Linked DNA regions of Coturnix japonica. The protein of the gene in region 2 interacts with the protein of the main gene of each other region in a pairwise test. Links are inferred from orthologs where the notes say so. Each region holds a gene or a part of one and is shown on either strand. Other genes may lie near its edges. The genes, in order: ARRDC1, WWP1, FAM189A2, CPSF6, ATN1 and SMAD3.

Region 1 (4,265 bases), on a different chromosome or scaffold from region 2:
AGCTCTGGGTCTTCAGATGTATTCCATGAGGAGGCAATGGGTTCAGCAAAGCCTGATGTAGCACAGGGTGATTCTGCTGCCCCTCACCTGCTTGTGTTGGTTGGTTGTTTCTATGCTGGCAATGTCACCTGGAGAGACTGGGAGGGAGCTGAGCTGCGGGGGCTGATGACAGAGGATGCGGGTTCATCTTACAGAAGGACAGGAGAGAAAAGTGGCAAAACAAAAGCTAAAAGGGCAGCGCAAGGAGAGCGGTGTATGGAAGCATCTGAGGGTGAGCGCCGCAGGAGGAGATGAGCTACATAAATTGTTGGCACGAGCCCATCAGGGTGTTCGTCTCCTGTGATGATGCACAGGCTGGAAAGAAAAAGTAGCTTTTAAGCAGCAGAGGAGTAACGGCCTGGAAGAGCTTCTCAGCAGGAGCCCTGTGTGCTGAGAATACACAAACCATTCCCATGCAGCGCTCAAACCCCTTCGGTGGGGCTTTACCCCCCATAAGGGGACCTGGGAGGCTCCTGCAGCTCGGGCTGGTGTCACTGCAGGGCCGGCCGTCCTGCTGGGTGTGTGCTCTGCGGATAAACAGCTAAACAGCCCTTGTTACGCTTATTCATTCCGCCCGTGTACACAACCTGCTTGTCATCAGCCGGGAGGCCTCTCTGGGAGGTGCCTTTCCCCAGCACCGTGTTTGGTGTTTGCTGTGGAATAAAGAAAAGGTGATTTATTATTTTATTGTTATTATTATATTTTATTTTAACAGAGTTTTTGAAACGGGATCATGCAGCAGAAGTAGCACCAAGGGGGACATACAGAGGGCAATGTGGGGTGCTGGTCTGCTGCTTGACCCGCAGCTCCCTGGGCTTGTCTCCCAGCCCTGGTCCCATGCTGTGTGCCTGTGTGCTTCCCACTGGACACTTGAACTAACTGGGGATATAATAAATAAGGAGGGGGGGAGAAGAGAGACAGCTGGGCAGGGAGAATTACAGGGAGATCAGATTAGAGGCGAGATGGAGCTGGGCCTGGGCTGGGCACCTGGCTCCATCCCTCACAGCCTGACCCCGCAGTTGGGTCCTTTCTTCACATCCTGAACCTATAGTTGGGTTTTATCCTCATAGCCTGAACCCGTAACTGGGTCTGCAATGCTGCCTGGCCCCATAAGTGGCTCCTTTCCCCACAGCCCAATCCCATAGCTGTGTCTTAGGTTCCCCCCCTGCAGCTCTATCTGGACCCATAGTCGTGTCTTTCCCTACCAGCTTGGCCTCATAATCGCGTCTTTCCTTCACACTGTGCTCCCATAACCGTGTAATTCCCTCACATCCCAACCCCATAACCGCATCCCGACCCCACAACCGCATCCCTCCATCCAACCTGTGTCCCACCGCCGCATCCCCCGCCCACATTCCCCCTCCTCTCCGTTCCTCTCCGCCCGCCCCTTCCCTCAGGGCCCGCCCCGACCCTACGGCACGGACCGGGGCGGGCGGAGGCGGGGCGGCCCGACGGGGCAGGGCGGCGGAGCAGCACGGAGCGGAGCGGCAGGGCAGGTAGCAGCGGAGCGGAGCGGGGCTGGAGCGGCCATGGGGAAGGTGCAGCTGTTTGAGATCCGCCTGGGAGAGAGCCGCGTCATTTACAGCCCCGGAGAGCCGCTGGCCGGCACCGTCACCGTGCGGCTGTCGGGCTCGCTGCAGTACCGAGGTGAGCTCGGGGCCTGCCCGGGGATGGGGACGGGGCTCCCCGGGCGGCGGCGCTGCGTGGTCGGGGCTCGGGGCTGGCAGCCTTTGGGCCGAGCTGGTCCGGAGCATCCCGCACCCTGTTGCATTATAGAGGGGGGTCTGGACCTGCCCCTGGGGTGGGCTGTTGGCCACCTTGTTGCGGAGAAGTCTGCAGCGGTTACACGTGTTGTAATGGGGGAAATATGAACTGGTTATTTTGTTTTCCTGTTCGTTTCTGCCCCTGAGACATGTTACTGTGGGGGTAATGATAACCAAAGAGCTTAAAACGCAGCCTCCCGTCGCTGGGAGGTGGCCGTGCTGCCCCGCCGCGGTTCCCCTGTTCTTTAGCACCTCTCCCAAGTGCTCACGGCGGATTTTGGGAGCTTCCTCGGGAGGAAAAGAAGCATCTCGGACAAGTGGAGGCTTGTCTGGTGTTTAACTCCCTCCCGAGCAAAGCGCGTGGGTCTCCTCGCCGGCTGCTCCCAGCGGCTCCTTGCACCGCCGGCATTGGCAGCCGGGCACGCTGACCTCCAGCCCTGCTGGGTGGGCTCAGCTGTGCTTTGGTAGCGAGCAGAGCCTGAGCTGGGCTCTGAGAGACGGCACATGCATTGAGGCAAGAGTCGAGGTGTGCCTCCCCCTGTTAGAAGCTTCTCTAGTGTCCGTTTTGGGCTGAGGTCACTCGCTGTGTGTTGGCTTCACCGCTGGGGTGGCAGTTTGCCACGGCTGGTGCCTGTACTGGCCCAGATAAGCAGTGCACGTGGAGACATGGTGCCTGGGCTCCTTGCTGTGCGCCCTCCCTGCTGGGCTGGTCTCACCTTCAGGAGAATGGGAGGAGTGGTGGTTGGAGCATCCTCCTGTGGGTACAGCAGCAGGCAGCTGGACATGATGGTGATGGGGTCAGTCAGCCTCTGGCACACTGTGCCTTCTGGGCATGTGGGGCTGATAGTCACAGGACAAGGGGGAATGGTTTTAAATTGAGACAGGGGAGGGTTTAGGTTGGATATCAGGAGGGAGTTTTTCACCCAGAGGGTGGTGACACACTGGAACAGGTTGCCCAAGGAGGCTGTGGATGCCCCATCCCTGCAGGCATTCAAGGCCAGGCTGGATGTGGCTCTGGGCAGCCTGGGCTGCTGGTTGGTGACCTGCACACAGCAGGGGGTTGGATCTGGATGATCATTGTGGTCCCTTTCAACCCTTTTTCTATGATCCTGTGGTTCTGTTGGGGTCTGAGGGGAGGTGGCTTCCCCAGCTTGTGTTCTGTGCTGTGTTCACCCACAGCTCCTGTGACCGGGACTGACAAGCAGCTCTCTGGGGAAGGCGTGCGGTGCTTCCCCTTTGCAGGGTCATGCTCACAGCACCCAGGTATGGTGCTTTCTATTTCCTGGACTGCTCTGACGTAGCAAACACAAACAGGCCTGTAGACGATTACTTCACACGGTACCTTGTTTTATGGCTCTTGGAAATTGCCCCTATCAAAGGATGGTCAGTGCAAGCGAACAAAGCTCGCTCTGCCTCGTCAAACATGCTGGAAGTCTTGGGTCATAGGGAAGCTTAATGGAGACACACCTTCTAGGATCATAAATGCTCCCACCTACGCTGGTTCCTTGCCAGCCCTCTGACAGCAGTAATGGCTGTTCAGTAACAAATTGGCCTTGCTGGCCATGTAGCAACGTCACAAATGGTGACTCACCTTTCGTGACCCATGTGGACCCTCTGGGGCCACGTCAGTGGGGCACACTCACCCCATGGCCGTGCCAGGATGGAGGTCTTCCTCTGAGAACTTCTGGGCCTCGAGGGATATCGCTAATGGGAGTCCATGTCCCTAATTGCTGTGCCTCACTTGCTGGGTAAACCATCAAATACCTGTGTACAAAGAATAATGAATCTAACAGGAAGCTGGCACTGGGACAGCTGGGTGTGGAGTTAATTTGGGGCAGGTGGGAGGGAAAGAAGTTGCTCTCAGAGCATGGGCAGCCCTGTTTGTTGGCTGGAACAACCCTGATGCTGCTCAGGGCTGCTGGAGCACTTTCCTCACTGTTCTACTGCATCCAGAGCCATGTGGGTTATTTCAGCCCTGATGCCTATTGCTCAGCGATGCTTCTTGTGGGCAGAAGTGTAACGGTAAATAACAGCTGTCTCTCCCAGGTCACGGAGAGAAAAGAAACTGAAAGCCCTTTCTGGAGCAGATTTCAGTGCCGTGTTCTCTGCTCTGTTATTTGGCTGTCCAGGTTTATGCGATGATGACTTGACTTTCAAATCAGTCCTTTGAACTACAAATCTGCAGGCAAAATATACTGCTGTCAGTTCGTGCTCTAGAAGTACCCAGGTACATAACTCTCCTTTCTGCAGAGCCTGAAATGAGGTACATGGTTTGACTTCTCAGCTGGAAAGCTGGGAAATCTGGCAGTGGAGAAGGGGGCTGAAGGCAGATCCTGAGCTGTATCACCAAACTAGAAGGTCACTTCTGAGTCCCTGTGTTGTTGGACTCTGACACAGGAAGATGTTCCTGCAGAAGGGCTGTGGATTGGGCTGTTCTGCGTAGCAGTGTCCATCAGATGGGCA
Region 2 (3,500 bases):
CAATATCTGTTTTTGCTTTCTAAGAAAGCCAGGAATTGTTGACATTACACAGCTATTGCAAGTAGTAAGTAGTCTTAAGTTTTTATTTATAATAGTACTGTACAGGATTAAGAAAAATGAACTCTTTAAAATGATGAAACACCATTTTATAGGCACTAGGCTAGTGTTAAATTTTGCACATTTCTATCAATGGGATTAAAACTGTAGAGATATCTTAGTATTTTGGCTTCAGTTCTTAGAATTGGAAGCTTATAATGTGCTGTCAGTTAGAAAACCACTTGAAGTGTGTGTGGCATATAGTATTTTGTCTTGAACAAAAAGATTTACAGCTCTACAGGTACAAACTGGCAAGGTTAAGTAGAATTGTCACCGATTGGTGTTGATTAGGGATTCAGAAAATTAAAGCTGTGAATGATATTACACTACTTCACACAATGTCCTTGACTTTTAATGGGGTCATATTGACTACTGTACCTGATTTCTGATTTCACTAGTTTGAGACAAAATCTTGTGCCAAGATACTGTTCTGCTAAGATCTGCAGATGGAGAAGACAGATTCTATAGCAGGGTGTGTTGTGGCAGAACAATGGAGAATGGTTTCAAACTGAAAGAGGGGGAGATGTAGACTGGATATAAGGAAAATGTTTTTTGCAGTAAGGGTGGTGAGTCATGGGAACAATTCACCAAAGATGTGCCCCATCCCTGGAGACATTAAAGGTCAGGCCTGATGGAGTTCTGGACACCATCTAGCTGTAGGTGTCCCTGTTTATTGCAGGGGAGTTGGACTGGGTGACCCTTAAGGGTCCTTTCCAACTCAAGCAGTTCCATGATTATGACTGGTATTGATGCATTGCCAGACAAGAGGGCTTGAGAATACTAAGCCTTAGCCTGTTTTTCCTCCCAAATCTGTATGCTTTAAACCTTCTATGAGATTATGCTTGCTTGACTTGGATGACATTTGGGTTGTTCTTAAAAAGGCAGAAATTAATTTACTTTGATTCTATTGTCATTTTTGTAATTTTTTTAGTTTATATCAATCGCGTTGGTATTCTGGATCTGCTGGGATGGCGTTCATTTTCTTCATGGCAGTTGTATGATGCTGTGTTTTAGATTTATGAGCAAAACCATGCTGATAGCACGGTTATGCTTTAAACGCTGCTGAAGAGTTTCTTCACAACATGAAGTCCTTATCTGTTTCTCATTCAGCCTCTTCTCAGCTGATGAACAGATTGGGAGTGCTCAGGAGGTTGGGAGTGGAAACATCCAGGCAGATGACCTGAACCAACCAAAGAGATGTTCTTTGTCATACAATGTCATGCTCAGCAATAAAAAGGGAGAGGAGAAATTTTGGGGTCGTTAGTCATCTTTCTGCATGGGAACTGGATTACTGTCATTCTATCCATGGGAGGTGGTGAATGATTGCCTTTACATCACTTATTTTGTTTCATTGTTTTTGTCATCTCCTAATTCTTTTCTTACTAAATATATATATATATATATATTATCTCGGCTCACAAGTTTTCTTGCTTTTACTTTTCATCTTCTCTTCCCCAGTCATGCTGTGGGTGGAAGTGAGTGAGTGGTTGTGTGGTACTTGGCTGTCTGTCATAGTTAGCTCACGACAGTTAGCAAAATGTAATTTTTTAGGACATATTGATTTTCCTAAGGATGCTGGGGTGATCTATTTATTTATTTATTTTTTAAATAAGATACACAAGAAGATATTAGATCTGTAAGAACTTTTTATTTGTATGTCTTTTTATTTCTGCGTTACATGTAGTTACTTGGCTCCCAATGCTTTTCTTTCTTGTCATGCTAATCAAGATATTTTTCTGAAGTTGGTACAGCTTCTCAAGTAAGGCAGTACTGTTTCTCTGGTAGTGGATGTTTACTTTTTGCTAATCTCAGGAATAATGTATAATGTTGTATTGAGGAAGGTATGCAGAAACTAAGAAATAATCTTTGCAGGGAAGTATAGAGAACGGCTTGCAGACTGTAAGATTTAATTACAGCTTTAACCGAAGCTGGTGCACTTTTTGTAATCTTCAGCAAAAATGTTACTTATGGCACATAGGTGTAAATTGAATCAAAGCGAGGAATATGTTTAATATAGTATACTTCAAAATCTGACCAAAAAGTTTAATTCTTTGGAATCTGATATGCAAATATTCTTATTTCCCATTTCTCAGTTAATGGTGAGACATCTTCCTCTGCACCAGAAGCTGGTAATTCTTCTGTCTCTGAAGCTATGGTAGGTTCAGAAGCTCCTATGTCTACAGATTGCACTAACACTACAGCAGAACCTCAATCAACAGAAGAAGCAGCTAGTTGCTCTGAAAGCCACACTTCTACGCTATCCGTTGTGTCTGCTGGACTAGAAGCTTCAGCTACTACAGACTGTGCACAGCCTAATACCACAAACAGTACAGCAGCAGATGCAGCAAAACCAAGGGAATCCTCCTCAGCCTCAGGTGCATCAGGAGAGACTTTAAGACAGCAGACTGTTAATGCTGGTACAGAACCTTTACCACCAGGGTATGTGGGCTTGATTTTAACACTATTATTGTGTTTTGTCATAATGTGTATGTGAAGAAATCACAGTTTAATTCCCTACAGGGGTTGCTAAATACAGATCAGTTGGCAGAGATGGGGTTATATGATCTAAAATGAGATTTGTACTATTCTATAACTGGCTGGTAGCTTATGTCCCAGAAACTAGCAGCTGATCATTTATTTGTTGAGACAGTAATGTGATCTAAACAGAGGAATTCTTGGACATTGTGGATATGAAGAAGATTCATTTGATATATTTAAACTTACTTGGGTCATAATTAATTGCTGCCATGGTTCTTATACTGTGGGTATGTAGTAGGGACTAAAATATGAAGAAACAAAATGAATAAAATAGTCTAGAAATTTGGGTTCTTGCAGTGTAGGATTGTAACCAATAATGTGAAAAATACAATGTGAGTATGTGCTCAGAATAGCTAGAAACTTCTAGTTCTCCCAAACTGAAACTACTGCTGTAGTCCTAAACCTTAAATGTAAAATCAAAGATGAGCTTAAACTAAAATAAAAGCATAATATGTGCTCAAATAGATATACTGATCTCAATATAAATAAATTAAAAAAAAAAAACCAAAAACCAGATATCTCATGTTTGGGTGAAAAGATGTCTTCAGTAACTAGTTGAAGATGCTGACATTTTTGTAATAATCTAAATATTAACTATTTTAGCATCTTTTTTAACACAGAAGTAGTTACTTGCTGGAAGTATATATACACTGTGCCATCATAGCTGATATTTCTGAGATCTGTCATTCTGTCATGTATCTGCTCTCTCTGAAACAGGTTCAGTAAGTAATTAGTGACTCTTCTCTTGATTTGCTGTAGATAAACATGAAAACAGGAATCTCAAAAGACAGAAGTATTGTAGATACTTTATTGAGGAAATGTCTCAAGGTTCTTAATTTTCAATTATTTTCACAAAATTCTTTATA
Region 3 (3,500 bases), on a different chromosome or scaffold from region 2:
GGTGCGGTGGTGAAAGCTGATAGGAGGAAAAGAGAAAACAGATGATGCAGTGGAGACGTGAACACGTTCTGCAAAATACTAAGAGTAATCCAGTGTTCAAAACAAATGACCATTACAAACACTCCCCCATTTCTGTTTTGTGTGCACCAATGCACATCAGCAGCTACTATGGGGATTCCAACATGCTGCAGTAAAAACTATAAGACTTTGGACAGCTGCAGACTTTGTTCCTAAAACTGAAAGACTACAGAGAAAGCAAAACTGCGGTGCTGACAGCAGTGTGTATGACAAAGCACAGCCTGCATGCTGTAACATAGGCACAGTTAGGAGACAGGAGCTGGTGTTTGTAGGCTGCTGGTTCAGGGTGCTAACCCTCTCTGACAAATGTTTTCCTAGGGGTTCATTACCTAAACAAGGACAGAGAAAGTCAAGTCACCTTGTGACAGCTGGCAGTGTAGCACAGGGTCACTTCTGGACCGTTTCTGTAAGGGACTGAAGGTTCTGTGAACTTCTGCGGGCGCGGCGCTGGCAGAGGGCAAAAGGCTTGTTCTGCTGGAAGAGTTGGAAATTTCTTCACCTGAGTAAGCAGGAATAGAAAAGGTGAAGGAAAGTAGTTAGAACAAAGCAGATCTGAGAGCATAATCATTTAAGATGATTGTTTTTTTGTTTGTTTTTTTTTTTTTGCTCCCCAAATAGCTGTAATGATTACAAGTGCTTCTATGTGAGCATCTGCCTGCACACACAACAAACACTCATCTGAGGTCTGCTTGAACTTTTACAGAAACCTATTCACCTTATCCAGCTGGAGTAACAGCAAATACATCTTTGCTTCACGGGAATCTCTACCTGATTGGAGAGAAGGGCGTCCTCCTAGAGCTAAAGCCAAACCTTGCAGTGCCTACTATTCTCCTGCATATGAGCAGAAGTACCAAAACAAAACAGCATCCAGCCACAGAGGTCAGACACTGCTTGCAGTTATGTAGCTCATGAATCAATCATCAAGAATCAAAGACCTTGTTTCATTCCAGTGAATGAAGCACTTGGTAAAATTAGGTCTTGGATGATCTCTGCTTGTTGAGAACAGCAACTTCTATACCAATGCATCTAGAATCTTCCAGAAAGAAGGAAGGGTAAGAGCTGGGAAAGCCATGAAGCAGGACCTAGCAACAAACCATGGCAGACTGAGTGCCAAGGTGGACTGAAGAATCCACTGCCAAAGCAGACTCTCTAGTGGAGCTGTTCTAGCAGTCACTTCTTTAGACACGGTGATATTGGTGTTCTGGTGAGGGTGTTTTTTAATACTATTCAAAAGAACAAACTGATTTCAAGACTTTAATGAAAATCCACATTAACTTTACAGGTGTTAAAAAGGGGAAGTGGTTCAAAGCTGAGTGTGCCTTGAAAATACCCAGTTTGCAATGACCAAGGGCAGCTGCTGAGCACCCCCAGGCCTCAGGAGGTAACCCTCCTATTACAATTGGCTGAGAAACTCCTGTTTGGCTCAACAGGGTCCCTCCTGCAGCTGGGATGCACCTTAGCTAGCAGGCAGCCTTCACTTCCAGTGAGAGATACACCTTGCCCACCCACTCCAGTGGGGGCATCCAAGAGAAAAGCCTGGTGCAGCAAACTGCCAGCATAAGCCATAACTTCACTTTTATTTATAGACTGTTACTTGACATCAGCTGAGACAGCGGGTGGCGTTCCTCCTCCAGCCTGGCTGCAGCACTGCTCCCTGCTCTGCCCCTCCCTGCCCCATGGCAGCAGCACTGCTCTGGCCCCGGGCCCAGGGCACAGCATCCTGCAGGCTGCTAAGAAAATGAACCAGTACAGACCTGGTACACACCCATTGATAGTAATACAGGAGGAGATACTGCTCAGTGTATCAATTCACTGTCCCTGCAAAGCTGAGGAATGTAGAAGAAACAGTGCTTACTATCTCTACCAAGGTGCTTGCTTTCTTCTGCTTGAATTCAGCCAGGCTGAGAGTTAAAAGTCACTTTATAGGCCACTAAGAGAAGAGGAGGGACAAATAAACTAAAAGGATGAGGAGAGTACAATGTGCTCAAGTCTGCTTGATTGTGAAGGAAGATTTTAAATACAAGCAACACCTCCAACAATGCCTCACCATGGCTTCTTTTTCTTTCTTTCTTTCTTTTTTTTTTTTTTAACTTTTCTGACCATCCTTTGCAATAAGTTGCCTCTTCTATAGTTCTTCTATTTTCTACTCTCACAATTTAAAGCAGGAACCGTGCAGCCTCACGTTTGCTATCCTATATCATTTTCTGTACCCTGTAGTTTCTAAGCACCCAGAGGAAGCAAGTGTTGCGTTACCTACAAGAAGGCCTTCACAGAACAATAAATAGAAAACCTATGCTGAGAACAGCTTGGAGCAATTTCCATAGTTTGCTGAAACAATGCTGAAAAATGCAGCATCCACTTGTAGTGTAGCCATGGTGGTACAGCAGGAGAGGCTGAACCTTCCACCAATATCCCATCACATGTTGATGTTGCGTGACAGATGGCAGCAGAGGGGCACTCTGACAGAATGGCATCTGACATGGAAGTGCAGATGGAGTGAAGGTGTGGCACTGATCTCCTCCATGTGGAAAAAATGGCACTCATCAGCACTGGCTGATGCTTGCTGAACATTTTGAGAGCCCAGCCAGTGGATGTGAGCACAGGGAGGCAGAGGGTGGTGTATTTCAGCAGCAGTGACAGCAACAGCAGATCACCTCTACTGGTGCAGAACTTTACAAGCACAGCATGCAGGCTCTTGCTAAGTGTTGGTGAAAATGCACAGCTAATGGTGGCGACCACATTGAAAAATGGTATTTTGTAGCTGAGAATTTGCACTATCAAACAGCACTCATGTGCTCTTTCTAGCTATTACAGTTTCCATGGGAATTAACAGGAGGCATTACTTTTGGAGCAACTTACATGTTCTTTCTTTTTGTTGTTTGCTGTTCACGTACTTTTTTTTTTGCAACTCGAGCATTAACCCCTGTTCCTGCTGCCCAACCATAGTTCTGTATCTCTGGCTTTCAAAGCCAGACACTGCATGAAATCCTTGTGACTGGGCAGAACTGTCCTACAGTAACTTTAAGATGCTCCTACCTGGAGAGGCCAGCCTGCCTCTGCTTTCTGCTGAATCAGCAACAATTTCCTCACCCACTTCTTGCAGTCTGCTTTCCTGGAATAAAACAGAAAAGCTGAAGAACACAAATGGGCGCCAGCACTTTTCAAGAACTGAAGCACTCACCCTGGAGAATGAACTGTGCAGTGAATGTAACTGCACGATGACTATGTTATATGGGCTTTGCTCCACTATAAAACTATCTAATCTGTATAATCAATTTTTATCATCCAGTTCTGCCAATTTCAGTGAATATGGTACAGACTTCCAAGGTGAGCTGCTAATCTTACTCTTACAGACAGACAGACAGACAGACAGATGACATTTGGAGACCCCTACAAACCACACCTGCTCAGAGCCAGTCTGG
Region 4 (3,952 bases), on a different chromosome or scaffold from region 2:
TGTTACAAGTAACAAGAACATCATCAAGCCAGACGTGGTCCTTTTTAAATCTCCACACACAGTGCCTGGATACACTCTAGTAAATGTTTCTTCAGGTGATATTCTGAACCTCTCCAAGGGGCTTTCCAAGGAGTGCTTGGTTTGTTGGTTAGGAAAGCTCTCACAGCTGAGAACAATCCCAGCTGTAGGTTTTTTTGTTTGTTAACACATATAACAGCACAAGAGGCTGTTGTATGTATGTATAATGTGTGTGTGTGCCACAAACTGGATGAGAACTCCAGGGACAACCTGAGCATCTCCATGCCCAAAGTACAGCAGGACTCAGCAGGCTGAGCCAGTGTGAGGGCTGAAGCAGAAACGTGGTCATGAGAGAGACCTTGGTAGCACAGCCTGGTCTGGGAGACGAGTCCTAATGAAGTTTGTTGGGGACAGCAAGTGACCAAATGACTGCAAGCCTTCCAGACCCATCTCTGAACAAGAGAGCACACAGATGAGCAGGTGTGTTCCCTCAGCTCTTCTTTCACACTAGCTTCCATCTGATAATACAGCTGGAGCTTTCTTCCTTTCAAAAGCAGGAGGAAAAAGGGGCCCTGACAGAGATATGCATAAGACAGCAGCCCATACTTTAAGCCTGCGTGATCCACAGCATACCCATTGCTGTGGCTCTCTGATTTTTCACCTCTTTTCTGTCAGGAAAAGACCAACCTTTCCTTTCAAAGAGAACTATAACGCAAGAGCACCAAAGCACAACACGAAGCAGGGATGCTCAGGGCCACAGATGCTGATCCAGGAGCACTCCCACTCACGGAAAAGAGCATTTTCAATCCACCTGTGGTCTTTAACACTCTTTCAACCCGGTCTAGAGAAACACAAACTTCTCGTTGTCAAAAGGCAACTTTATTTTCGGATGAGAAACACCACACACAATGGAGAACACACTGTGTTCCGGGATCGAGGGCGATCCTCGCACCTCGCGCCGCGACCTGGCAGGGGCGCTGAGGGGGAACGGCGGGGCTCTGAGGAGCGGCCCCGTACTTCGCCGTGTTCCGAGGCGGGCTCGGGCCGCTTTCCCTGCACTCTGAAGGGGCGGGCAGGGCGGGGCGGCCCCCCAAGAAGCGGCAGCCGCCGGAAGTTCCCCCTCCTGGCTCGGAAGTGACGCCGCGTGCACCTTCCCCCTCCCGGCAGCGGCGGCGGAGCCGGGCGCGGCTGGCGGTCGGCCCGAGGCGCGGCCGGGCGGGATCATGGCGGACGGCGTGGACCACATCGATATCTACGCCGATGTGGGCGAGGAGTTCAACCAGGTACGGGTCGGAGCGGCCCGGCTCCTCCTCCCCTCGCTTTCCTTTCCTTCTTCACCCGCCTTCGCCGCCGCGCCGCCTGCAGGGCCCTGTGCGCGGGGCCGGGCCGCGCCGCGCCGCCATTGTTCGGGCGCCCCGCCGCAGGGCGGGACGGAACGGGACGGAGCGAGGCCGCGCCTCAGGCCCGGCCCGCGGGGGATCGGGGCTGGGCCGGGCGGGGAGCGGCGGCGCTCGGGGGCGGGAGGGAAGGAGGGAAGGAGGCAGGGAGGCAGACAGGCCGCGGGCGGGCGCCTTCCCTCCCGCTCTCTGTGCCGCCACAGCCGTCCCGCCCGGGACAGCGGCCCCTTCCCGGCCATTGTTCGCAGCGCGGGAGGAGCGGGGGAGCGCAGCCTCGTGCTGCTGGCAGCAATGCCGCCCGCCGGCTGTGCCCGCAATGCTCGGGCTCTTGGTGAGCCGAGGGGATTTATTTGTGTGAGGAAGTGGCGGTGTAACGCGCACAACTTCCTGCACTGCCGTCTGATTTCTCTGGTTTCTTTTTCACTCGCCTTTCCCCAAAGCCGCCTTCCTCCCTTCCCACCGAAAGGCGATGTTGTCGTCGGGTTTGTGGAACATCTGTTCCATGTGCGGGTGCCGCACTTCTCTGGCTGCACTGCCCTAAAACAGGTCCCATAGTGCTGCCTGTGTGGAGTGGGAGCAGGCGGCAGGGTTGGGATACGCAGCTCATGTTACCAGCAACTTTATTTCTTTCAGTATTTGTCGGTAAATTAATTTAGATCGATAATCTCCTGAAGGTATAGCATATAGCTACGCCATCCCTCGTGAGCAGATGACAGAGACATGTGCAGGTTTCTCCCTGACAGCTGAAGACCCATTAGATGAATTTACGTGGGGGTGATGTACAGCACAAATACCATTCAGCATAAAATATAATCTTTGAGGCCTCTGCCAGCCCAAGCTGTTCTCTGATTCTATCTCAGCAGCTTCTGTAGCAGCTTTGGTTTTGTGTTAGTCAGTTCCACGTAAAAAAGTGATAACAAACCAAGTTCTTCAGAAAAGATAGTTTGAATCCAGTAGTACTTGTGTAAATTCGTATAGGGGGCAGGCCTCGAAGTGGTGCAGTTTGTGGCTGTAACCTCAGTGAAGACAGATTTTTTACTTGCTTTAATTTTTGCAAGACATTTCTGTTTCTTCTTTTCTAAGCCTGAGTTCTGGGGCTTTCATGTTGTCTCAGAACCTACTCAGCTGAACTGTATTTCATTAAAATAGAAAGTTGGACTGGCAAAGATTGGCACCTCTGCACTTTCCATTTCCTTCTGCAGAGCAGGAACAAAAGCCAATTGTTACCACCTACAGCGCTGCTACCTCTAATTCTGATGCCATTGTGATGAGTCCTCTTGAAACCTCTATTCAGGGTTTCTGATTTGAAGCTGACAGCTTGAATTAATAGGAGAGGACTTACAGTTCAGCATGGCTGCGGAGGGGTGAAGATTACAATTCTCTAATGCTGTAGGGGGAAAATGATGGCAATTTGATGGTAATTTATGTAACAGGTGTTTTATGCAATGCTGTATTTCTAACGAAAATTTGTTTTATATGTAAAACAACATACTGCTCTTGAGTTGTGTGGTGCTGTGTCCGCTTGCTAGTGTTAGTTGGACTGCAGGAGCCCCTTCCATTAGTTTTGTTGGTAGCAGGGACTGGAAACATGCTGTGCAGCTTTTTTCATTCTTCCAAATACGGTATAACTGTATTTATTAGTAAAGCTGGGACAGCACTTTTGTGTTTGTAGGAAATAAATCTCTTAGGATTCGTGGTTGAGTGAGCCCTTCGTTGCTCTGTCCTGCTCTGAGCCTCAATGTGCTCACTATTGGAGCTCTTTAGAATCATAGAATTACCCAGGTTGGAAAAGACCTTAAAGATCATCAAGTCCAACCGCAGCCTAACCAGTACCCTAACTCTAACAACCCTCTGCTAAATCATATCCCTGAGCACCACATCCAAACGGCTCTTAAACACATCCAGGGATGGCGATTCAACCACCTCCCTGGGGAGCCTATTCCAGTGCTTAACTACCCTCTCTGTAAAGAAGTGCTTCATAACATCCAACCTAAACTTGCCCTGGTGCAACTTGAGGCCATTTGGGGATTTGTTTTCTGCCTGCTTCTATGAGGTGGGAGGATGTTCCACCTGATTAGCACTAGATGAAGTCCAGGTTACAAGGCTGAAGTAAAAACTCCAGCCCCCAGGTTTTCAGGCTGGCTGAACTGAATGAAAACTGAGACCTGTCTTGCAGCCAGCTGCAGGTTGCAAAGAACTGGCTGGCTGGACTTGAAGTCACATCTTTGCAGTGAAAGCACAACTTTCCCTTCCCATCTGGCGCTCATCAAAACCGTATGTGCCTGTGTTGCCTCTTTCATTAACCTACTGTTCATCATAACTGTGTCCTTTGTCCTTGTGTCTAATGCTTTACTCAGTTTGTCTCCCCTCACTTGTATTTAAATTGGTTTTAATTCCCATTTCATTTCCCCCTCCCCTTCTTTTCTTGATAATTTGTCTTCTCAGCTGACTTCCCCATCCAGCAGTGTTTTGTATTTACGCAGTGTCATGTTCTGAACCAACAGTCCCATAACCGCAGTATTTTTGCTCGCATCACT
Region 5 (4,209 bases), on a different chromosome or scaffold from region 2:
GGGTCAAGGCAAAGAGATAGGATGAGGAGAAGCATAGACGGAGAAATGAATGACGGCTGTTTGCACTGTGCTGTGCAATGGCACGCTGCCTGGCAGCAGAGCTGGCTTGGGAACCACAGACACCAAGTCCAGCGTGGGCCCGGCAGCGACATGGTACTGCTGGGAAGAGGGTGTGGAACAAAAGCTTGCAAGAATGTTGCTGGGACATTGTTAGGGCTGTTTATAAAATGCTCGGGCGCAGCGGTGATTAGCACTACAGAAAAACCCACAGGGACATTCTTACATCTGCATTCAGTGCCAGGTTTGGATGCCGTACAGCGAATAATGCCCTGAGCCATGTAACGGACAATAAGGAGCTCTGAACAAACACCCACTGAGAGCGACATCCAGCCTGCTCGCTGATGGACGGGAGGTCCTGTAGGGAAGGTTTTGTGACTGTATATGTGAAGACTACCCAAATGCCCCAGCAGGACTCGCCCCTGTGCATACCAAGTCCGTGTCCTTGCAGCACGCAGGCTCACATGGCAGCACAGTGTTTGCTTCTGCTTCCTTCCAAAGTCTAAAGCTGAGAGCAGCACTCGTTCACTCCTGGCTTCAGATGAGCCTGCCCAGAGCAGATGGTGGCCCTGCCGTGCTGTACCGGGTAACGGAACCATTTGGCTCCCCAGCTCCCGTTCCAGCAGCCGTCCTTTGCTTCAACTTTCTCAAGACGGCCATGCAGGCCCTCAGCGAGCCTCAACTTTGCCGACACGGCAGCATCCAGCCCGTTTTGCTGAAGCACAGCGGAGCCCACAGGCGGGCGGGGGGGAGAATTGTTCACATTTTTAACATTCTGCCTGAATTGGAGCCCTTTGTAACGGCACGGCGTCTCCTTTGCATCTTAAACAGCATTTCTGGTGGCAACCAACACCACCGATAGCCCAGGCGAGGCCTGACCTTACAGAGATGGCTCCCTCGCTTCACTGAGGGCAAGAACAAGCAAACGTGGGTAAGAGCGGCCCGCTGCAGCTCTCCAGGGCCGCGCAGGGCACTGTGGAGGCGGCTCGCTGCGTAGTGGGGCCGCGGAGGCCCGTCCCGAGGCGGCCTCCTCGGTCTCGGGGCCGCCGGTGCCTCTGGTTCCGCCGCACGAGGCTCTCTCCCTTTGTGCCGTTGCCTGGTAACGGCGCGGGGGATGGGAGCCCGCCGGCCCGCACCGCACGCTGAGCGCTGAGCGCTGCCGCCCCGCCCCGGGCCCGCCCGCCCCCCGCCGCGGGGAGCCCGCGGCCATTTCGTCTCCCGGAGCGGGGCCGAGCCGCGCTGGCGGCGGCGGGGAGGCGGGGACGGGCGGGCTGGAGAGCGCGGTTCGGGGGTGACGGGGCGAGAGAGAAGAGAGAAGGGGGGGGCTCGTTCTGGGCTGTTCGGAAATGGGAGGTGGCTAAGGGAGGCGGGCGGCGAGCGGGGCACGGGCGGCGGAGCTTGAGAGCGGGGGGCGCGGCGGGGACGGGGGGCGCCGCCCCCCCTCGGAGCCGCTGCCCCCGCGCCGCCGCGATCCCGGAGGCACAAGAGAGAGCGGGGGAACGAGGAGCAGGAGGAAGGAGGGAGAAAAGGAGAGGAAAGGAGAAAAAGAAAAAGGGGGGGGGGAGGGGGGCAGCGTTTAAATCCCTTCCCCCGCTCCTCTCCTCCTCCATTCCTCCCTTCATTCGACCTCCCCTCCGGAGCCGCCGGTGAGTCCCCCTCCCGCTCACGGCCGCCTGTCATTTTCGCCCACTCGCGGGGATCCCCTCTCTCCGTCCGTCTGTCGGATCGGGGCGGGGGGCGCGGGCGGGACGCGGTAACCCCCGTGGCGGTGGGGAAGGGCCCCCGGCGGTGCCTTCCCTAGCGCGGACGCGGCGGGCGGGGCCGGGACCGGGACCGGGTCGCGTCGGCTCCGGAGCGAACCGCTCCCCGCGAGAGGGAGCCGGGAACGATCGTCAATGACCGAGGGGGGCCGCCCGCCCAGCCCCATCCGGCCCCCGGAGCGGGCCCGCCGTGGGGTCCTGGGGCGGGGACCCCCCCCCTCCCTTCTTCCCCCGGCCCCGCCGCTTCCCGGCGTGACGTCAGCGCCCGCCGAGCCCCCTCCCGGCACGGCGAAGTTCGGCGGGGGCCGGGGCAGGGGCTGCCCCCGGGGCGGCGGAGGGGCCGGAGCTGTGAGCGCTCAGCCCGGAGCCGTGCGGGAATCGAAATAAAACAATGCTGGAACGGAATCGGGCCGCCCGCTGCCGGCCGGGCTCCTGCCGCCCGAAAAACCTCCACGAGAATCCGTCCCTCCTCCTGCAGAGCCCCTCATTGTCCCCGCTTTCCAGGTGCGGCTCGGGAGCGGGCAGGAACGGGCTCCGAGCGGGGGGACCGGCGTACGGCCGAGTGCGTGCGCTCCCCCTGTGCTGCACATCCGTGCGCTGCTGGGGTTCGCCCCGCCGCTGCCAACCGCAGCTCGGGCGGACCCGCTGCCCCGCTCACGGACAGAAACAGCTGCCGGGGGAGCGGGGAGCACGCACGGCTCCACCCGGGGGGCGGTGGTGCTCGCACTCCGTCCTGGGTGCTCGTCGGCTCTTCAGCTCCCTGCGAAAGGTGGCAGCCGTATTCCCTGTGCCGCTCCTCTGGCTGTGCCATCGAGTCGGTGGCTGCTTTGCCCTGCTGGCCCGCAGATGGCAGGTTGCGACGCTTTGGTGGCTGTTGACCAGCGAGTAGCCGGCTGTGCTTTGGAGTGGCAGCCATTTGGTCATTGTGGCATCGCTTTTTGCACGCTGCTTTGCTTGCACTTGAGATCTGTCGATCGCCTCCTGCCAGCTGCGACGAGGTTCTGAGGTTGCTTCTGGAAGGGGCAGTGTCTTTAATTGCGTTTGCCTCAGTGCCGTGGCTGCTTGACTTCTGCAGCGAGTTACTTAGTTGCCAGCGCAGCTGCTTGTGAGAATTTGTGTCTTTTGTCTGCACGGTCTGTTTTGCATTGCCGTGATTCTTCATCAATAGCGTCTATCTTGGAGCTAGCCATTCAAATCCGTTGTGAATATATCTCTCTTGGGCTCTTGTACTGGATATAGATGGCATGGGAACCTCTTTGCTTCCTAGCACTGAAAAAGTGAGGGGAAAGTAGCAGGCCACTGCCTCAAGGTGTGTAGCAGCAGAGCAGTTGAATATGTCATTCATCTTGCGCCACCTGAATGGTGGAACGCAGTTATTGAACCTTCAGTTGTGCTTATGCCTAAAGGTTCAGAGATCAGCCGTGTTTTCTCTCAGGAATCAATGTGCTCATGTCACAGCACAGCCCTTCTGGGTTTGCCTCAGTTTCATCAACTCAAGTCCCACCATTGTTTGAGTTGAAAGCGAGTCTCCTTTCCTTTAAGCCAAGGGTGTTGTGCATCACTGCTGTGCCGTACCTGCATCCTTGAGGGAGTGGAAGGGCTGAAACTCCAAAATCATTGTCCCTGCAAAGGACACTTGTGAATGTGAATGGTCAAATTGATTTGGCCTATTTATCTCTAGTTTTGTTATTGGTGTCTCCATAACCAGTCATTTGTGCATTTCCCCCATCTTTGGGGGGGAATAGACCGGCCTTTCAAACCGTACTGTTCTGGTTGTGATTCACAATGGAGCTTTTCAAGCGTGGCTTTGAGGAGTGAATTTGCAGTGCTGTGCCTCTTGCTGGAAATGATAGAACTCCTCTAAACATGTGAAAATTAAACGTGCACTGAGTCCTAATAAAGAAGATCAACAGGTTTAACCTGCTGTGATGGCCCGCCTTTCCATCTTTTCATATGAATTTGCCTCCTCCCCCATACTTTGTACCCCTTGGGTACCTCCAAAAGGTTCCTACATTCTCACCTTTGGATTTGTCTGCAGAAGGATTCACAGTCAAATTTTTTTTGTGGGCATAATTGTATTCCAAAATAATACCACACATGCAAGGATCGATGACTGTACCCTAGCAAGATCGTTATACCAAGAGCAACCTGACAGGTATTTGTCTTCAAGATGGGAGGACTTTATGTGCAGCTGGAACGGATAAAGAAGGTTATGTTCATCCCCAGATTCAACCTCTGTAACTCCATAAATGCTTTCCTTATTGCTCCTTGGTCATAGATTGGCTTGAGTTGGAAGGGACCTTAAAGTTCATCTAGCTCCAACCTCCCTGCTGTGTCTTCCTCATGTTCATCGGCATTGTTCTATTGTGTGAAGGTGGAGTTGATGGTTGTA
Region 6 (3,500 bases), on a different chromosome or scaffold from region 2:
ACAGCAGAGCATACGAGTCAATAACAGAGGAGGGAAACAACAAAATCAGGATTTTTGGTTCCATAAAACTTTAAGCCATGTAGACAGTTTTCTGTCCAGAGATTGCTCCTTTCCTGCTGTGCAGCTGCACCGTTTGCCCATACAAATAAGGTGTAAATTGCTTGTGAAAAAAGATGCATAAATAGAAAGGCTCAATTCCATCAGAAATCTACACTTTTACTCAAATTAAACTGGCTGAACGTCAGTCAAATCTATGGGAACATTCAGCTTTAGATTCCACAATAAACTGAGTATGCCCTACTGAAGGGAAGAAGTGAGTTTGAAGAAAACAAAACTTGAAACAGCAATGCCATCATTCTACATTTACAGCTATCATCTGCTTCTCTACACTTTCCTGTTCATTTGCTTCATGGCAACAATAGAAATAAAGACTTGCCACTCATTCAGCTCAACACACGCAGACACGACTGACTGTGCAGTGTGACCCTTCTCCCTCCACTTGCTAGATGGAGAGATGCTGTACCTGGGATGTAGTTGCTCTGCGGCTCAATGCCTGCTGGGAAGTTAGTGTTCTCTGGAATAGAGTGACTGTAATCGTCCAGTGGTGGGAACTCAGCTGGGATCTCCGTGTGCCGAGGCACCAGAACTGGGGGTAACACTGCACAAATGGAAAACAGAGAGAACAGGATTAGCAGCTTTAAAATAAAATGACTGAAACCCCAGAAAATGAAATGTAACCAGTCTGGAGTACCACCCTCGCATACACACAACACCAAAGTCATTAATTAAGGGACACAATTTGATAGTTGATAGTAGATACCAACAAGAGCAGCAGTGAGGGATGCGCAGAACACTGCCACAGTCCTCACTTGTAACTACTGTGTGTGTGAGTTGGTTCTGGGCACACAGGGACACATTAGGAAGCTGGCAAGAAGGCAGCCTGCTCAACTTGTTTTTCATCGATTTTAAATGATATTTTCCCCCTGAGCACAGATTCATAAATTATTCTGCTGCGCTCAGTAAGAGACTATCATCAATAATACATACGCTTTGGTTTGAAAACCCTACGCCTGCTGCTTTCTTCAATTCTGAAATGCATGTATACGTCCCTCAGAAGGGACACGCGGGGTCAGCAGTACCTGGGGTCTCCACTCGTTGGTAATGATAGGGATTCACGCAGACTTCGTCCTTCTTCATGTTGAAGGCGTACTCGCACATCTCCATGGCCCGCAGCTCATGGTGGCTATGAAGGTCCGGCCACCGCCACAGCCGGCAGTAGATCACATGGGGGAGGCCCTTGCGGTGGGACACCTGCAGCCGGCCATCCAGCGACCTGCAGGGAGAGAGGGGAGAGTTACATGGGCTGGCACTGAAACACATCACCGACCTCATCCCACCAAGGAAGCAATGTGAAGCTGCAGGCTCAGCACACGGCTGGCCCACCAGGCTCCGCATTGTGGACAATCCCCAGAGCCACCCAAACCCACTGAGATGCTGCTGCAGGATCCGAGCTGTCACACAAAGCACATCTCTGAAAAATGCAAAAATGTCTATTTTATGTAACAGTCTCACTTCAGAATCATTAATTTACTGAGAAGAGCTCAAATTGAAGGCTCGAAGAAAGGTACCCCAGGTTAGAGATACTCTTTTAACATACACACAGACATGCACTCCCATTTCTACTCCTTGAAATCCAGCCCCTTCGCTTTCCATTATGACTGACATTAAACACTTCTGGGTTTTGGTGAAACACACTATTTCTTCTTCTTCTTCTTCTTCTTTTTAACTTTTGGTCAAGGAAAAAGGAAATTTGAATTTCATTTGGAATTATTTCCCTTGGTTCTTTGTGTTGGCAGCCAATCCAGAGAAACCAACCCAACCCAACCCACACAAACAACTATTCAAGCAGTGGTTGTGCTGGTCTTGGCTGCCCTGGGAGACTCTTCCCAAAACCAGAGCTTGGTAACACGCACATCTCTTGTAAACACTGCTGCAACAGCAAGGAAGGAGAAACAGAAACAGCGTGGATCCCAGCTGCACCTGACGCGGGGAGCAGGGAAACACGGTTGTGCATGGGAAGTATACAGAACAACTACGCCATCACTGAGGGAATTGCTGGTACAGAGCATGAAACACTAAAATCCACAATTACATCTCAGCTCCAAAATACTCTCAATATCTACCTCTAAGCGCACTATCAGCTCTGTTTCCCAGGTGTGCTCTCATGACAAGCTCCTTCTGAGCTCAGCCAAGAAGAAAGAAGCATTTCAGGCACACAACTCACAAGGAACTAGTGGGGAAGGCAGCCTGAACAGCTACAAGCAGTTACCTAACTAAGCCAAAACCAGCCTGAAAGCACAGCACAGCTCCCAAGTGTTGCTATCACAGCTTTCCGTAAGGAAAAAAAGAGATGCACTTTATGATCTTATCTAAAAAGACCATTGAAATGACAGAGCCATATGCTTTGTTTTCAATCACAATAACCTCCCCGTCTCCCCTCTCCCCTCAATAAGGAGATACAGTAAAAGAAATGACATTCCCCCAAAGCCCCGGAGGCCAATTACATTTTTATGATTGTGAAATTCCTCCTTGGGCTCTCTGCAGCCCCACTTCTTTTGGGACATTGTCTCTTCCTTCCAGTCAGCTGCAGCTGAACACATCAAGTGTCCCCATGCTGCACTATGGGATTAAGTAGCTAAGGCTGAGAAGAGCTCTTAATTTCAGCGCTCACATTCAGACCTGAGTGGGTGACGCAGCCTCTCACCACGTTCCCAACCAGCACATATCCTGAGCCTGCAGGACAGAACAAGAAAACAGTGCAATCCACAGCCTGGAGTCAGCACTGCCCGCCAGTGATGGAGCATGTCGGCTATGAGATCCTGCAAGGAAATGCAGAAACAAAGCCAGAACGTAGCCAGGCTGTCGAGCTGATACCAGCTCACAATGACTTATAACAGAACTAAATTCAGGAACTAATCACACAAAGCCTTGATGTGAGCAGGGGTCCCTCCAGCACCAGGGGTGTCAGCCGGGTCTGTGCACCCACAGCCACGCTCAGGTGTGCTTGGTGAGAAGCTGGTCTAACACAGAGGGCTGTAGCATGGAGTGTTCAAACCCAACCAAGGAGCAGCCAGTGGGGAGGTTACCCCAGCACTACATGCAACAGTGATAAATACCCAGTGAGGAAAGTGCCAAGACTCCAGGAGTGCAATCAGGGAATTTCATTGCTTGCACAACAGCCTGTGGCACAGTCAGAACAGCACTGCAGTACCATGAGAAGCCAACAGAAACCCCTTGAGCCCAACACTTTAGGACTGATCCATCCCTATATGCTGCCACAAGCCACTTGCTAGGGAACTCAAACACCCCCAGCTGCTGCTCCAAAGCACCCAGACTACTGCAGCTCAGAGAACAACAGCCTGCAATGGCTCCTAATAGCAAAACCAGAGGAGGGAAGGAAAAGAATGACAAAAACACCAAAGCTTTTCCTTTTATCAATC

Evidence for each region.
Region 1: the proteins of WWP1 (region 2) and ARRDC1 interact in binary tests that used the Homo sapiens proteins (3 or more experiments, as listed by UniProt). The link is inferred for Coturnix japonica from reciprocal best matches to the Homo sapiens genes WWP1 and ARRDC1.
Region 3: the proteins of WWP1 (region 2) and FAM189A2 interact in binary tests that used the Homo sapiens proteins (3 or more experiments, as listed by UniProt). The link is inferred for Coturnix japonica from reciprocal best matches to the Homo sapiens genes WWP1 and ENTREP1.
Region 4: the proteins of WWP1 (region 2) and CPSF6 interact in binary tests that used the Homo sapiens proteins (3 or more experiments, as listed by UniProt). The link is inferred for Coturnix japonica from reciprocal best matches to the Homo sapiens genes WWP1 and CPSF6.
Region 5: the proteins of WWP1 (region 2) and ATN1 interact in a two-hybrid assay, tested with the Homo sapiens proteins (2 studies listed by BioGRID and IntAct). The link is inferred for Coturnix japonica from reciprocal best matches to the Homo sapiens genes WWP1 and ATN1.
Region 6: the proteins of WWP1 (region 2) and SMAD3 interact in binary tests that used the Homo sapiens proteins (3 or more experiments, as listed by UniProt). The two-hybrid records come from large-scale screens. The link is inferred for Coturnix japonica from reciprocal best matches to the Homo sapiens genes WWP1 and SMAD3.

Annotation. Positions count from the first base shown.
Region 1 is NC_029532.1:1,142,539-1,146,803, forward strand, and holds the start of ARRDC1 (arrestin domain-containing protein 1), read left to right. Parts: upstream 1-1,465; 5' UTR 1,466-1,568; coding exon 1,569-1,686; intron 1,687-3,504; exon of another isoform or gene 3,505-3,519; coding exon of another isoform or gene 3,520-3,550; intron 3,551-4,265. UniProt on the Homo sapiens protein: Functions as an adapter recruiting ubiquitin-protein ligases to their specific substrates. Through an ubiquitination-dependent mechanism plays for instance a role in the incorporation of SLC11A2 into extracellular vesicles.
Region 2 is NC_029517.1:111,470,460-111,473,959, forward strand, and holds part of WWP1 (NEDD4-like E3 ubiquitin-protein ligase WWP1), read left to right. Parts: intron 1-2,189; coding exon 2,190-2,535; intron 2,536-3,500. UniProt on the Homo sapiens protein: E3 ubiquitin-protein ligase which accepts ubiquitin from an E2 ubiquitin-conjugating enzyme in the form of a thioester and then directly transfers the ubiquitin to targeted substrates.
Region 3 is NC_029547.1:31,129,185-31,132,684, reverse strand, and holds part of FAM189A2 (protein FAM189A2), read right to left. Parts: coding exon 3,482-3,500; intron 3,191-3,481; coding exon 3,115-3,190; intron 578-3,114; coding exon 437-577; intron 1-436. UniProt on the Homo sapiens protein: Functions as an activator of the E3 ubiquitin protein ligase ITCH in the ubiquitination of the CXCL12-activated CXCR4 receptor. Thereby, triggers CXCR4 endocytosis and desensitization, negatively regulating the CXCL12/CXCR4 signaling pathway.
Region 4 is NC_029516.1:32,103,073-32,107,024, forward strand, and holds the start of CPSF6 (cleavage and polyadenylation specificity factor subunit 6), read left to right. Parts: upstream 1-1,152; 5' UTR 1,153-1,241; coding exon 1,242-1,301; intron 1,302-3,952. UniProt on the Homo sapiens protein: Component of the cleavage factor Im (CFIm) complex that functions as an activator of the pre-mRNA 3'-end cleavage and polyadenylation processing required for the maturation of pre-mRNA into functional mRNAs.
Region 5 is NC_029516.1:69,576,381-69,580,589, forward strand, and holds the start of ATN1 (atrophin-1), read left to right. Parts: upstream 1-1,409; 5' UTR 1,410-1,703; intron 1,704-2,062; exon of another isoform or gene 2,063-2,321; intron 2,322-4,209. UniProt on the Homo sapiens protein: Transcriptional corepressor. Recruits NR2E1 to repress transcription. Promotes vascular smooth cell (VSMC) migration and orientation. Corepressor of MTG8 transcriptional repression.
Region 6 is NC_029525.1:17,079,068-17,082,567, reverse strand, and holds part of SMAD3 (mothers against decapentaplegic homolog 3), read right to left. Parts: intron 1,334-3,500; coding exon 1,140-1,333; intron 659-1,139; coding exon 524-658; intron 1-523. UniProt on the Homo sapiens protein: Receptor-regulated SMAD (R-SMAD) that is an intracellular signal transducer and transcriptional modulator activated by TGF-beta (transforming growth factor) and activin type 1 receptor kinases.